Callithrix jacchus: one gene and its partner. The protein of the gene in region 2 interacts with the protein of the main gene of each other region in a pairwise test. Links are inferred from orthologs where the notes say so. Each region holds a gene or a part of one and is shown on either strand. Other genes may lie near its edges. The genes, in order: RAB4A and GRIPAP1.

Region 1 (6,766 bases), on a different chromosome or scaffold from region 2:
ACCCAAATAGCTTACAATGCTATATTTTTTCAAGGAAACTATTCTGTTGATTCCCAAAATTATTTGGTAAATATTTTAATACTGTGCTGTTTTCAAAATGAAGCACAAAATAAAAACTTTAAGAGTATATTTTATAAAAATGAGCATAGAACCAGCAATTTGAGTTATATTCTTCTGTTTCATAAATTATTCCCATTGTAGATGGCATAAACTCTAATATGTAGAGATTTTGTATTAGATTTTTCCTCACTCTCAAACTACCCCAGCACTTAAATTTTGAAGGAAATTTCTGGCATTTTCCCATACATATACTTTTTTAGCTCCTTTCTGAACATCGCTGCTTGGCATCAAAATTACTTTCAACCAATTTGTAATCTCCCAGGTCTCAGATGGCTGAAGCAGAGTTCCTTGGGAAGTCCCAGGCCATACTAACTGGCCAGAGCTTTAAGAATTTTGTGTACCTGATGACATTTGGGAGAATCTTGCTTCTAATATTCAGATTACCGTTTCATTTGAAACCTATCTGTGATTTCAATTTGTTTCACGATATTACATAAAGTACAGTCTTCATGTGGTTAGTGACCTCAAAGCCACAAAAATGTTGAATGCTACTCAGTCTATGGAAGGTGATATATAGCTTTAGTATGTTAAAGGTATATTAAGTGAGCATATTAATTAGAGGTAGCTCATTAACAGTACATTTCAGCAGGGCACAGTGGCTCATGACTGATTTCAGTGATCTCAAACACTTCGGGAGGTGGAGGCACGAGGATCACTTGAGCCCAGGAGTTTAAGACGAGGCTGAGCAACACAGCAACATACAAAAAAAATTTTTTTAAATGAGTCAGGTGTTGAGGCGTGCACCTGTGGTCCCAGCTCCTCAGGAGGCTGAGGTGGGAGGATAACTTGAGCTGGGGAGGTGGAGGCTGCAGTGAGCTATGATTGTGCCACTGCACTCCAGCCTGGGTGACAGAGTGAGATCCTGTTTCAAAACCAAACCAAACCAGTTCATTTCATGCACTGGCTCTTGATTTTTCCTCATCTCTCTGTCAAGCTGCACAGAGCCTCCTTTTACAGAGGAGAAAATGAGCACAGACTACAAAGGAATTTAAAGGTTAGGCAAACATTCTTTCACCAGCTCAGAGGCAAAAGTCCAGAAGGGAGCCTGACTGTTTGACTTTTAAGAAACAATGCTGTATAAATATGGCCAATGATAAGTGAAAGTGACAGCTCAGGACTTGGTTCTAGGTGACTTTTACTTTAGCTTGGCAAACTTCAGCTGTCCTGCTTGCTCTCTCTAAAACTCATTTTCTTTCTTTCTTTTTTGGAGACAGAGTCACTCTGTTGCCCAGGTGGGAGTACAGCGGCACAATCTTGGCTCACTGCAACCTCCGCCTCCTGGGTTTAAGCAATTCTCATGCCTCAGCCTCTTGAGTAGCTGGGATTACAAGTGTGCCACAACATCCTGCTAATTTTTTGTATTTTTAATAGAGATGGGGTTTCGACATGTTGGCCAGGCTGGTATCAAACTCCTGAACTCAACTAATCTGGCCACCTCGGCCTCCCAAAGTGTTGGGATTACAGGCATGAGCCATCCTGTCTGGCCTCATTTTCTATTGATTAGTTCCTACTAGTTTTTAATTTCCTCTATCAGAAGAAAAAATTCAATTCAGAGTTGGAAAGTAAAAATATATTTGAAAGTTACCATGAAATAAGAATACTAATGGTCAAAGCCTTATGATTAGAATTTAATCAGTCAATCTGTGATGCTGAGAAGTTCAGTTAACTGTGTCTGAAGTGGAGATGCCAAAGATATGCTCTATTTTATCGGCTGTGTCTATGAAAAATGAAGCACTAAAAGCTCTATCTCCTGAACTCTTCCAGTCCTTTCTTACTGATTCATGACCCCCATTTGCTTTTCTTAGTTGGACATTCCACCCTTCCCTAGTGCTCCCTGCTCCTTACTCAGGTTAAAGAAACTAAGTGTGAGCTAAAGAGCACTTGAAAGAAGTGCAAAGCTGTAACCAAAAATTGCTAAAGAGTACGTTTTCCTTACATTTCTGACTGTGGTTCTCTACAGGAAGAACCAGACCACTGTCATTTGCAGAAGCATTTGCAAACACTTGTCATGATGAAGGCATCGACTTACTGGAAGATATCCTAAGCCTTCTAGGAACAGATGTCATGCCCCTGTGTCACCAAGAGCAGGGCAGTACCAGTCACAGGAGTCACTCACTTATGTTGGACCAAATGCACTGTGACTCCAGCACGGAAACCCTTCCAAAAGTTCTCATTTTTTTTCTTAGGAGACAGACTGACGCCTTCCTCAGGGCCCTCTTCTCTCTGCCTCCTCATCCATCTCCCCAGCGTAATGCTTGAAACACCCTTCTGGAATTGCCCTTCCCACAGGCCTGAGATGTTCTGTGTGCTGCCTGGTTAATGCCTCCCTGACACCCCTGTCTGGGTCAACTTTGTTTCTAACACACTTTCGCAGACCACATTTCTTCAGAACTCTTGCCTGGTTTTAAGTTATTCACTCATTAGTATCACAACTGGATTAATACTGCATTCCCTCAACAGACTGTACGCTCCATGAGAGCAGAGCCGTGTCTCTGCAGTACTTACAGCCCTCCCAGCGTGGTGCCTGCTTCCCTAATGCCATTCCACAGCATTTGTTGCAGGGAAGGAAAGCAGCACGCCCGGACAGATGGAGACAGGACTAATTTGGCTTGAGGTATGTAATTTTGATCTTGAGCCTCTCTCTGGGATTTTAAAACTCCAAATCAAAGTCTTAATCTGAGAAAACTAACATCTGAAAGAGTGATTAGGGACCGGTAAACCTCTATAAATATTCAACCCTGATACAAAGTACAAGTTGTTTATTCTTGCCACGCAAGGCGAGAGACGAGAGAGAGAGAGAGAGAGAGAGAGAGAGAGAGAGAGAGAGAGAGAGGGAGAGGGAGAGGGAGAGAGGAAGGACACAGTATATGCATTGGGAAAGCTTTCGCTTATTCAAAACAATATTTGTCGAGCACCTCCAGGTCTGAGTGCTGCAGGGGAACAAAGATTAAACAGCCAGGACTTTGCTTCCAAGGCGCTTACGGTCTTAAGGAGACAAGAGACAAGACATGTTCATAAATAGCCAAAATGCAACCCAGAAAAGGCTAAAAACCACTGAGAGAGAGGGAGAAATAAACGAAGCAAGAGGTCTCCGGAGGAAGAGCTGAATTCGTCTATCAATAACTCCTCACTGTAATCCCAACGTAAAGCAAGGAATTCCAAACCAGGAAAGGTCAAACTGGAGTGTTTGAGGAGCACAGGCGTCGCCCCAAGCCCTTCACACCGCTCGCTGGGGATAATATCGCAGCTGAAACAGAACATTAAGCTGGCTTTCCAAACCTTCAGTTATTTACATTAGACGGAGGGGAAAACGCTAAGAGTGCAAGCGCGGAGAAAGAGCAGGAGGAAACTTGAAAAGGCGAATCACGCCAGTGCGCTGTGAACAGCCCTGCCCGCGCCCGCACACCCGCTACCCCACCCCGAGCCCCCCGCGGCCCGCGCACCCATCCCCGTCCCAAGCGCCGACACTTGGAGATCCGTCCCCCGGCTCTGGCCGGTGCCACAAAGACCCTCAAGACCCCCACAGCCCAGGCCCTGCCCAGCGTCGCCGACGCCCCCCGAGGCCCGACCCGCGCGCCCGGCCAGCCCGGGCCTCGTACCGTAGGTTTCGGACATGGCCGTCTGCGACATCTTGGAGCGGCGCCGCCTCTCGCCGGGTCACCGGCTGCTCTCGCCCGCGGTCCGCCGGCGTGTCGCGGTGGGGAAGGCCCTGGGGAGGGGGACCGGAGGAGGGAGGGGCCCAACCGGTCCCCACGGCAACCGCCGGCCTCCCAGCGGCTGCAGTCCAGCCGGACTCCGGCTCCGCGCAGGCGCAGGGCCCTCCGCCCTCGGTCCGGCCGCGACCGGGAGGAGGAGGGCTACGCGAGGCCCGCCCCCTCCCCGCCGCCAGCCCGGGCCTGCGTTTGCGCGTGCGCACGGGGAAGCCTGGGCGGGGCGCACGGGGACCTCGGCGCGCGGCGCAAGCACGTGCATGGCCTGGGCCGCCTGGCGGTGTGCGCCCGGGCGGGCCGAGCTGCGGCTGCGGGATCTGGGGGTTGAGCCCGGATTTCCCGCAGGGAAGGTCGGGGAGAGGCGGGCGGTGGGCAGGCTTGGGGTGACAGAGGGCTGAGGACAGTGGGGTCCAGCTGCCGGACAAAGGAGGAAGGTGCCAGCACTGGAGAGGAAAGCAGTCCATTTGCCAAATTGGCCCGTTTCCGTTAAGACGTTGTCCACCTTCATCATCTGTGGCTGTCAGCCAGGAAGAAACTTCCCTGACGGTGTTACTATCGAGGCCAGACTTGGTTAATGTGTAACAAGGAGGCAGCAGGCCCCAGGTGTACGGCCAGAGGCCGCCCTGGGAGTGGGAGGCAGGTTCATTCACCTGTTGGGAAGCTACTAAGCTTTCACTCCCAACTGCCCGACCCTCTTGGGTGGAGCTGAGCGGATGTGGGCGGATCCACAGAAGTGCAAGGTGCCCAGGTGCTGAAGGGTCACCACAAGCCTACAGACAGTAACCTCTCCACATCCCGTATTACAGGATTCTGGGTTACGGCTGAGACGTATCTCTTGGCTCTCAGTTGGGGATGTTTCCAAATTTAGGAATTTTTATTTTTATTTTTTAATAGGGTCTGGCTCTGTCAGCCCAGCCCAGCCAATTCTGCCTCAGCCTCCTGAGTAGCTAGGGTTAGGGGAACACACCACTACACCGTGCTAATTTTTAATTTTTTTGGTAGAGATTGGATCTCACTATGTTGCCCAGGTTGGTCTTGAGCTGGTGAGTTCAAGCATCCTCTCTCCTTGGTCTCCCAAATTGCTGGGATTACAGGCGTGAGTCATCTCACCTGGCTTTGGATAGTTTGGTTTCAGAAGCAAAAGTGAGTTTGAATCCCCTTCTGTGGGAAATGTAGAGATAAACATTTATGGGAAAGAGAATTTTGGTTGATAATTTGGCCCATCTGAGCATGATCAGGGCCACGTAGCGCCTCATAGTTCCCAGCCTTGTTCACAATAGGTAGTTGAATGCTCAAAATATCCTTGGCTTAGTTCCCAAGTGACCTGGGTTGTGTGGAAAATGCCAGTACATACTTTTTTTTTTTTTTTTTTTTTTTTTCCTGAGTCAGTTTGGCTCCATCCTCCACATAAATTGTCATCAGAGCTTCCCTCTTCCCCAGTGGCTATTTGGGTGGGTATTTTTCTCTTCTCTCTGATCCTAATAACAAATAAATGCATTTTTTTTTCTAAATTACAGAGAAGGCCTCATGCTGAAAAGTTGTGAGAGCTGTAATTTCCTAAAATTGTTTTGTATATATTCCTTGTTCAATGGCTCAGATCTTTTGTTGCTTTCTCGCTTGGTTCTCTGCATGTCAGGTTTGATTAAGGCTCCTGAGTACAACAAATTGGTTCTGATTAAAACCATTTCAGAGGAAAGACAGTGGGAAGAAAACAGCATTACCTGAAGTCATTCCCATTTGTTAGATTTGGTTTTTTTTTTCTGTCAAAAACTGCTATGGACAAGGAAGAAGTCACTGAGCTGCAGTGATAGTTAGCGTTATTGACTGAAACTGGACTGGAGAACCCCGAAACCTGGACAAGGTGGTAGAAATACAAATTATGCTGCTCTTTCAAAGCCATGGGTAGTTTTCTACTTTGTGGAAAATGAAGACTTAGGTAAGCTTTTGGGAAAGACTATTTATTTTGGAAAAACCACCCAAAGAGATCATTTAGTTTGCACGTGTAACAGCAGTATCACAACTGGAAGAAGAAATATGCAGCGGTGAGATTTTAAGGAGCCATTCAGTATCCTTGAATGATACTGTGGAAGATTCTCTGCATCTCAGTAACTTTGGATCTTTGAAAGAAAATGAATTTCTTCAAAATATCCTTAGAGACCACTTTGATTCTGAGGCACTACTGATTGTATGAAAGAAAAAATTATTGCAAGATTAATTTATGGTTTTCTTCAGATATCATCTCCTTTCTCTTTGGGGGAGGTTTGTGACAGACTGAAAACAGATATACAAAAGCCTAGGCATGTTGGAGATTTGTCTGAGGGAAATATAATTATGGAGAAGGATTTTTTCTAGCTGAAAGGAGATCCCACTTTTTTCCAGGTCCGTAGGTCCTTCAAGTATCTGATACTTTCCTTCCGGCTCCCTGACAATGCTGAAGGATCTGGCAGAACCTTACATCTAATGCCCAATGTGAGGCACCCTGGGGCTTGATGTATGGGATTCTTGGAGCTAGGCTTGGTGGAGGGCATGGTCACAGCCTCAGTGGAATGGTGACTTTCTTTGGTAACTAGAATTGAAGAACATGAGTGGACTTGTGTCTGAGCACTTGGGAACTCAGCAATCCCTGGGTGTTACTTTGAGAAGGAGCCAAATTCTGGACATACAAGTGGAGACTTGAAAATGGAAGCTCGATTCCACACCCAGGCTGCTGGAGACTATGACATAGAACTCACATCTTCAAGAAAGCAGAGACCTCAGAGGTCACTGGGCCAGTTTACCTTCCACTGTCAAACAAATCAATGTCCATGATCAGATCCCTCTGTTGCTAGGGAATATTCAGTCAGAATAGGCTAGATTACAGTGATGAAAATCTCTCAACCCATTTGTGACTTACACAGCAAAATTCCTCACTCAGACTACCTGTCCACTCCCACTCG
Region 2 (6,211 bases):
GGAGACAGGGATATAAACAGACAAACAGAAGAAAGAAAAATGAGACAGAGATAGAACAGTACGAAGAGATAAAGGAACAGAGAAAAGAAAGAGGGGAGGAAAAAAGGAGAAAACTGGAGAAAGTAGGTAAGGAGATAAAGGCAAATATAGAGGAAAGAGAAAGAACAAAATGAGAAAGAGGCAGAGACAGAAACAGAGAAGATACAGCAAAAAAGAGACAGAAAGAAATAAACAGAGAATGCAGAGAAAGAATCAGAGGAGAGACAAAGAAAAGGTAAAAGACAGATGAAGTTCTAGAGCGACAGAAGCAGGAAAGCACAACCGAGGAAGATGCAGGACTGACCTGCAGCCTGCAGGCCCAGGCCCTGCCTCCCCTCTGCCTCAGCCTCCTCTTCCTGTCCTGGTCCCTCACCTGAGCGGCTCTTGCTGTTAGTGAGGATGTCCTGCAGCCGCTCCTGCAGCTTGTCTGCCCGTTTCCGCTCCAGATGCAGCTGCCGCTTGAGGTCCTTGAGCTTTGGGGTAGGGGGTAAGATTAGGACTGAGGCCCAGTGGGCCTATAGGAGGAGGCTACTGGTAGGAGGGAGCCATGCTTGGGCATCCCTCTGTCTTACCGCAGCACTGCCCTTCTTCTCCAGGATCCTCTGCCCATCCACTGTGTCCTTCACCTCCTGTGGGAGAAAGCAAGCATGGCTGGTGGGTGCTGGAAGAGTTGCCTGCAGCATGCTCCCCCCCTGCCCTGATGCACACAGAGGATCAGGGGTGTGTCTGGGGCTGTACAGGGTTTGCTGACCTGCTTCAGGCTGCTAATGGTCTTCAGGTGGCAGTCCCGCTCCTCCTGGGCCTGCTGGAGCTGATCCCGAACATCCTGTAGTTCCTCCTCCTTGCCCTGCAAAGCAGAAAGCAGCTCAGGTCTCGGCTAGAGAAGCCTCTGTCCTCCCAAGGGGCCCGTCACTATCTGGAGAGAGGAACACCATCATGCGAGAGGCACCTTCAGCTCGGCAGCATGCTGCTCCCGACACTGCTTGAGGGCTTCCTCTTGTTCCTGCTGCTGCTGCTGCAGGGATTCCTACAAGACAAGTCCCAGGTCTCGCCACAGCCTCCCAGAAGACATCATCCCCGTTAGGGGTATGAGGGACTGCAATGGGGGTCCAGAGGTATGCAGAAATGACCCTTCCTGTGGGGAACCCCACACGCCCTTAGGCAGTATGCAGAAGTTCACATCTAGGTCTGCACCATTCACATGGTTGACCTAGATTTCCATTACCATTTTCTCTTATTTAACAAAACATAACACAGCACTTACTACTCATTTTCTATAATTCTCCCATAATACCTAGATGGTAGATATTATTGTTATCCTCTTTCTACCATTGATGAAAACAGGCCACAGAGAGGTAAGATAACTTGCCCAAGGTCACACAGCTAGGAAGCAGCCCAGCCAGGATTTAAATCTAGACAAACAACTGGCTCCCACCTGTGCTTTCCACTGCTACATGACAATTCCTTTCAATGTATTATAAGATTTCCAGAAAATGGACCAGGCGAGGTAGCTCATGCCTGTAATCCCAGCACTTTGGGAGGCCAAGGCAGACGGATCACAAGGTCAGATCAAGACCAACCTGGCTAACACAGTAAAACCCCGTCTCTACTAAAAATACAAAAAATTAGCTGGGTATGGTGACACGTGCCTATAGTCCCAGCTACTCAGGAGGCTGAGGCAGGAGAATCACTTGAACCCGGGAGGCGGAAGTTGCAGTGAGCTGACACGGCACCACTGCACTCCAGCCTGGATGACAGAGCGAGACTCCGTCTCAAAAAAAAAAAAAAAAGATTTCCAGAAAATGGCAACAAAAGTTCTTTTTCTGAGACAGTCTCACTCTGTCACCCAAGCTGGAGTGCAGTGGCACAATCTCAGCTCATGTAACCTCTGCCTCCTGGGTTCAAGTGATTCTTCTGCCTCAGCCTCCTGAGTAGCTGGGATTACAGGTGCCAGCCATAACACCTGGCTAATTTTTGTATTTTTAGTAGAGACGGGGTTTCAACATGTTCGCCAGGCTGGTCTCCAACTCCTGACTTCAAGTGATCTGCCCACCTCGGCCTCCCAAAGTGCTGGGATTACGGGCATGAGCCACCACACCCAGCAGGTTCTTGTTCAAATAACATCAGTGTATTGCATTAATTTCCTGACAGAAGTACTGTTTCAGGAGAAAGAAGTGCCTTTTGAAATTTGCACAAAGGCAGGGCAGCCTTGAACATGTGACAGTATGTCCTATCTGATGGCCATCCCCTGATCCAGTCCAGAGGGCTGCTATTGAGTCAGAGGACTATGAGGATATCCCTAAGCTCAGAACATCTCAGAAAGTTCCAGGGCCTGACTACTCCTGCTTCTATGGTTTGACATGAGGGCTCCAGTCATGGTGAGGACCAGGCATCACCAACTCACCTCGGCTTCCTTCAGGCGCCGTTCAAACCAGCCCTTGGCTCCATCCATGGAGTGTACCTGAGCTTGAAGTTCTTCCACTGTCTGCTGGAGAGTCTCTAGCTCCCGTGTCCGGGCCTGGGATGGGGCAGACTGTCATGGGCCAGGCAAGCAGAGGAGTAGGCACCTCACACACACTACACACTGGTCTATCAGCAATGCTGTGGTTTCAGAGGAGGAAAGGCATTGTCATCTACCCACCCACCTTCTCCTCCCGGATCTGCCCACGGAGTTCCTCCTCCTGACGCTTCTTGTCTTCATGCAGCTCTCGGAGCTCACGTTCATAGCGGGCACGCACTCCCAGTACCTCCTTCTCATGCCGTAGACGGACTGCTCCCAGCTCTTCCTTGTGCTGGGACTTCTCTTGCAGCGTCTCCATTGCCAGCTCATCCAGCATGGCCTTCCGCTTCTCAGCACTCTGGGGGCCAGGAGGATGGCAGTCAACTTCCTTCCATAACACCAAGAAAAGACCTCCCATCTTCTTCCCATGACCAAGGAACTAGCCAAACTCTACTCCCTCCCATCCCTGTTGAACTGGCTAAGGTACTCACCTATCCTTATGGAACTTGTCACTTCTTTCTTTCCCCTCCCACTCTCATGGATTTGGCCAAGAAACTGGTCAACCACAAACCAGTCAATTTTCCTTTCCCTCATATCCCCACATATTTTGGCTATATCACCTACCCCCATCCTCCCATGGCTCATCGACTGAGCCAATTCCTACCCCTCATCCTCCCTGCTAAACCTTCATGTTACCCTACCTTCCGAGCCTCCTGTAGTTCTTGGGTCAACTGCTCCTTCTCCTGCCCTATTTCTTGAAGTTGTTCCAGCAGCCGACTATTGGCCCGTAATGACTCCTAATGCAGACACGAAGGGGATGAGTTTGATAAAGAGCACCTAGCAGGTGCTAGTCACCCAGGACCATCTAATAGACCATCTCCCTTCTCCCTGGTAAAGTTGGTATTGTGATCTCAATTTCTGGATCCGAAATATAGCAGAGACTGCTACTTGTTCCCCAGTATTCATTTTCCCTTACTTCCTTAGCAATAAAATTTATAGTTGGGCATACAGTTGTCTAGCAGATATTTCCCCTCCTCCCTCACAGTTAGGTGTGGCCATGTGATTTATTCCTGTATACGGTGAATGTAATTTAGGTTATACTCTTAAAGGAAAGGGGCACGCTCTTCCCTGCCTCCTTTCCTCCTTCCTTCCCAATAAATTGCAAACATGATGGTTGGGGAGCTTCAGCAACCATCTTGGATGCTAAGATAAAAGTCTTGTGTTGAAGGTAGAGGAACAGCAATGGAGAAAGGACCTGGGTCACTGATAACTGGAAAGCCATCACTCCATCCCTGAACAACCTACCTGGATTTTTAACAAGAGAGAACTAAATTTCTATCTTATTTAATCCACTATTATTTTGGTTTCTATTATGGAATCAGAATGGATATCCTTTGGGAGGCTGAGGCAGGTGGATCACCTGAGGTCAGGAGTTGGAGATCAGCCTGACCAACATGGTGAAACTCCATCTCTACTAAAAATACAAACTTAGCAGGGCATGGTGGCAGGTGCCTGTAATCCCAGCTACTTGGGAAGCTGAGCCAGGAAAATCACTCGAACCCAGGAGGCGGAGATTGCAGTGAACTGAGATCACACCACTGCACTCCAGCCTGGGCGACAGAGCAAGACTATGTCTTAAAAAAAAAAAAAGAATGGATATCCTAACTAACGGAAGAGGCTCAGTTTCAGAGAAGTGAAATGACTTGTCCCAGGACACACAGGTACTAATAAGGAGCCAGACTGGAACCTAGGTCCTTCTAATTCTAGTCTTCCTATTCCACCTTATTGAGGACTTCACTGGGCCATTACTTAGGGAACCAGGAGGAGACAGGCCAGAGCCAAAGGTGTTACCTGGAGCTGGGAGTTAAGGTCATCTTTCTGTCCCATAAGGTCCTCGTACTCAGCCTGCCGCTGCTGCAACTCAGCTGCCATCCCAGTGGTCTGTTCCCGGAGCATATTCAGTTCTTGGGTCTTTGCTGTTTGGATCTGGAGAAAGCAGTGGTGATGAGAAGTAGAGTGAAAGGGACCCCAGGGGCCAGGCACAGGGTATGAGCCTCCCAGATCCAGGGAAACAGGGAGGGAGGTGGGAAGAGAACCAGGAAGAGAGAGGAAATCTCAAACAGAAAAACAATGAAGAGAACGGGTAAATGTGGTATTCCATCCAATGGAATATCACACAACAATAAGAGAACAGACCTGTGCTGCATATGGATAAACTTACATAATGCTGCCAGAAAGAAGTCAGAGACAAAGAGCAGCTGATTCCATTTATATGGTTAAAGAACAAGCAAAATGAATCTTTGTTGCTAGAGATCAGAATAATAGTTACTTCTGGGGAAGCACTGACTGTGAAAGGGTAAAGGGGACCTTCTGGGGTACTAAAAGTGCTTTATTCCTTGATCTGGGTGTTGGCTATGGCAGCAGTGGGGTGAGAAAGAGAGAGAGAGAGAGAGTAAAGAGTGACAGCGACAGGGGGAGGGAGAGAGAGGGAGAAAGGAAGAGAGGATTCACTGGGTGTACACTTACGATTAATGCACTTTATGCACTTTACTAGAGAGAAGCTAGAATGCAAGAAAGGCAGATAGGCTGGGCACCGTGGCTCATGCCTGTAATCCTAGCACTTTGGGAGGCCAAGGTGGGAAGATAGCTTGAGTTTAGAAGTTTGAGCCAGTCTGAGCAACATAGTGAGACCCTGCCTCTACAAAATAAATTTTTTTTTCTTTTTTTTGAGACAGAGTTTTGCTCTGTCGCCCAGGCTGGAATGCAGTGGTGCCATCTCGGCTCACTGCAGCCTCCGCCTCCCAGGTTCAAGCGATTCTCCTACCTCAGCCTCCCAAGTAGCTTAGATTACAGGCACCACCACACTCGGCTAATTTTTGTATTTTTTTTGAGACGGACTCTTGCTCTGTTACCCAGGCTGGAGTACAGTGGCTCAATCTCGGCTTACTGCAACCTCCACCTCCCAGGTTTAAGCAATTCTCCTGCCTCAGCCTCCCGAGTAGCTGGGATTACAGGCATGTGCCACCATGCCCAGCTAATTTTTTTGTATTTTTAGTAGAGATGGGGTTTTACCATTTTGGCCAGGCTGGTCTCGAACTCCTGACCTTGTGATTTGCCCGCCTTGGCCTCGCAAAGTGCTGGGATTACATGCGTGAGCCACTGCACCTGGCCTAACTTTTGTATTTTTAGTAGAGACAGGGTTTCGCCATGTTGGCCATGCTGGTCTTGAACTCCTGACCTCAGGTGATCTGCCCACCTCCACCTCCCAAAGTGCTGGGATTATAGGCATGAGCCACCATGCTTGGCCAATAAAATTTTTTAAAGTTAAAACAAAAAAGTAGGGATGGATGGCCAGAGAGAAAAGGGCTAGACGCCAACAAAAAGGAGCAACAGAAACAAAGACAGAACAGCATGGGGCCAGACCACCCTACCCTGATGTGGACCAGAAGCAGATGGAGATGGGGGAACCAGAGAGGGATCCGCAAGGGCCCCCAGGCATCCTTTACCTGCTCCAGGGCAGCCAGGCTAGTCCTCAAGGCATTGTTCTCGGCCAAAAGCCCTTCCACTTGTTCCTGTGCATCTGCACTCTGGATGGATACCTGGTCCCACGCCCACAGCAGGTGAGAGCGGGTCCAAAACAGGGGGACAGGACCTACCCACAGCTAAGTAAGG

The links.
Region 1: the proteins of GRIPAP1 (region 2) and RAB4A interact in binary tests that used the Homo sapiens proteins (3 or more experiments, as listed by UniProt). The link is inferred for Callithrix jacchus from reciprocal best matches to the Homo sapiens genes GRIPAP1 and RAB4A.

Annotation. Positions count from the first base shown.
Region 1 is NC_133520.1:21,261,543-21,268,308, forward strand, and holds the start of RAB4A (ras-related protein Rab-4A), read right to left. Parts: upstream 3,918-6,766; 5' UTR 3,751-3,917; coding exon 3,720-3,750; intron 1-3,719. UniProt on the Homo sapiens protein: The small GTPases Rab are key regulators of intracellular membrane trafficking, from the formation of transport vesicles to their fusion with membranes.
Region 2 is NC_133524.1:49,539,261-49,545,471, forward strand, and holds part of GRIPAP1 (GRIP1-associated protein 1), read right to left. Parts: intron 6,139-6,211; coding exon 6,046-6,138; intron 4,526-6,045; coding exon 4,391-4,525; intron 3,337-4,390; coding exon 3,241-3,336; intron 2,898-3,240; coding exon 2,685-2,897; intron 2,558-2,684; coding exon 2,444-2,557; intron 1,067-2,443; coding exon 989-1,066; intron 887-988; coding exon 791-886; intron 669-790; coding exon 612-668; intron 513-611; coding exon 413-512; intron 1-412. UniProt on the Homo sapiens protein: Regulates the endosomal recycling back to the neuronal plasma membrane, possibly by connecting early and late recycling endosomal domains and promoting segregation of recycling endosomes from early endosomal membranes.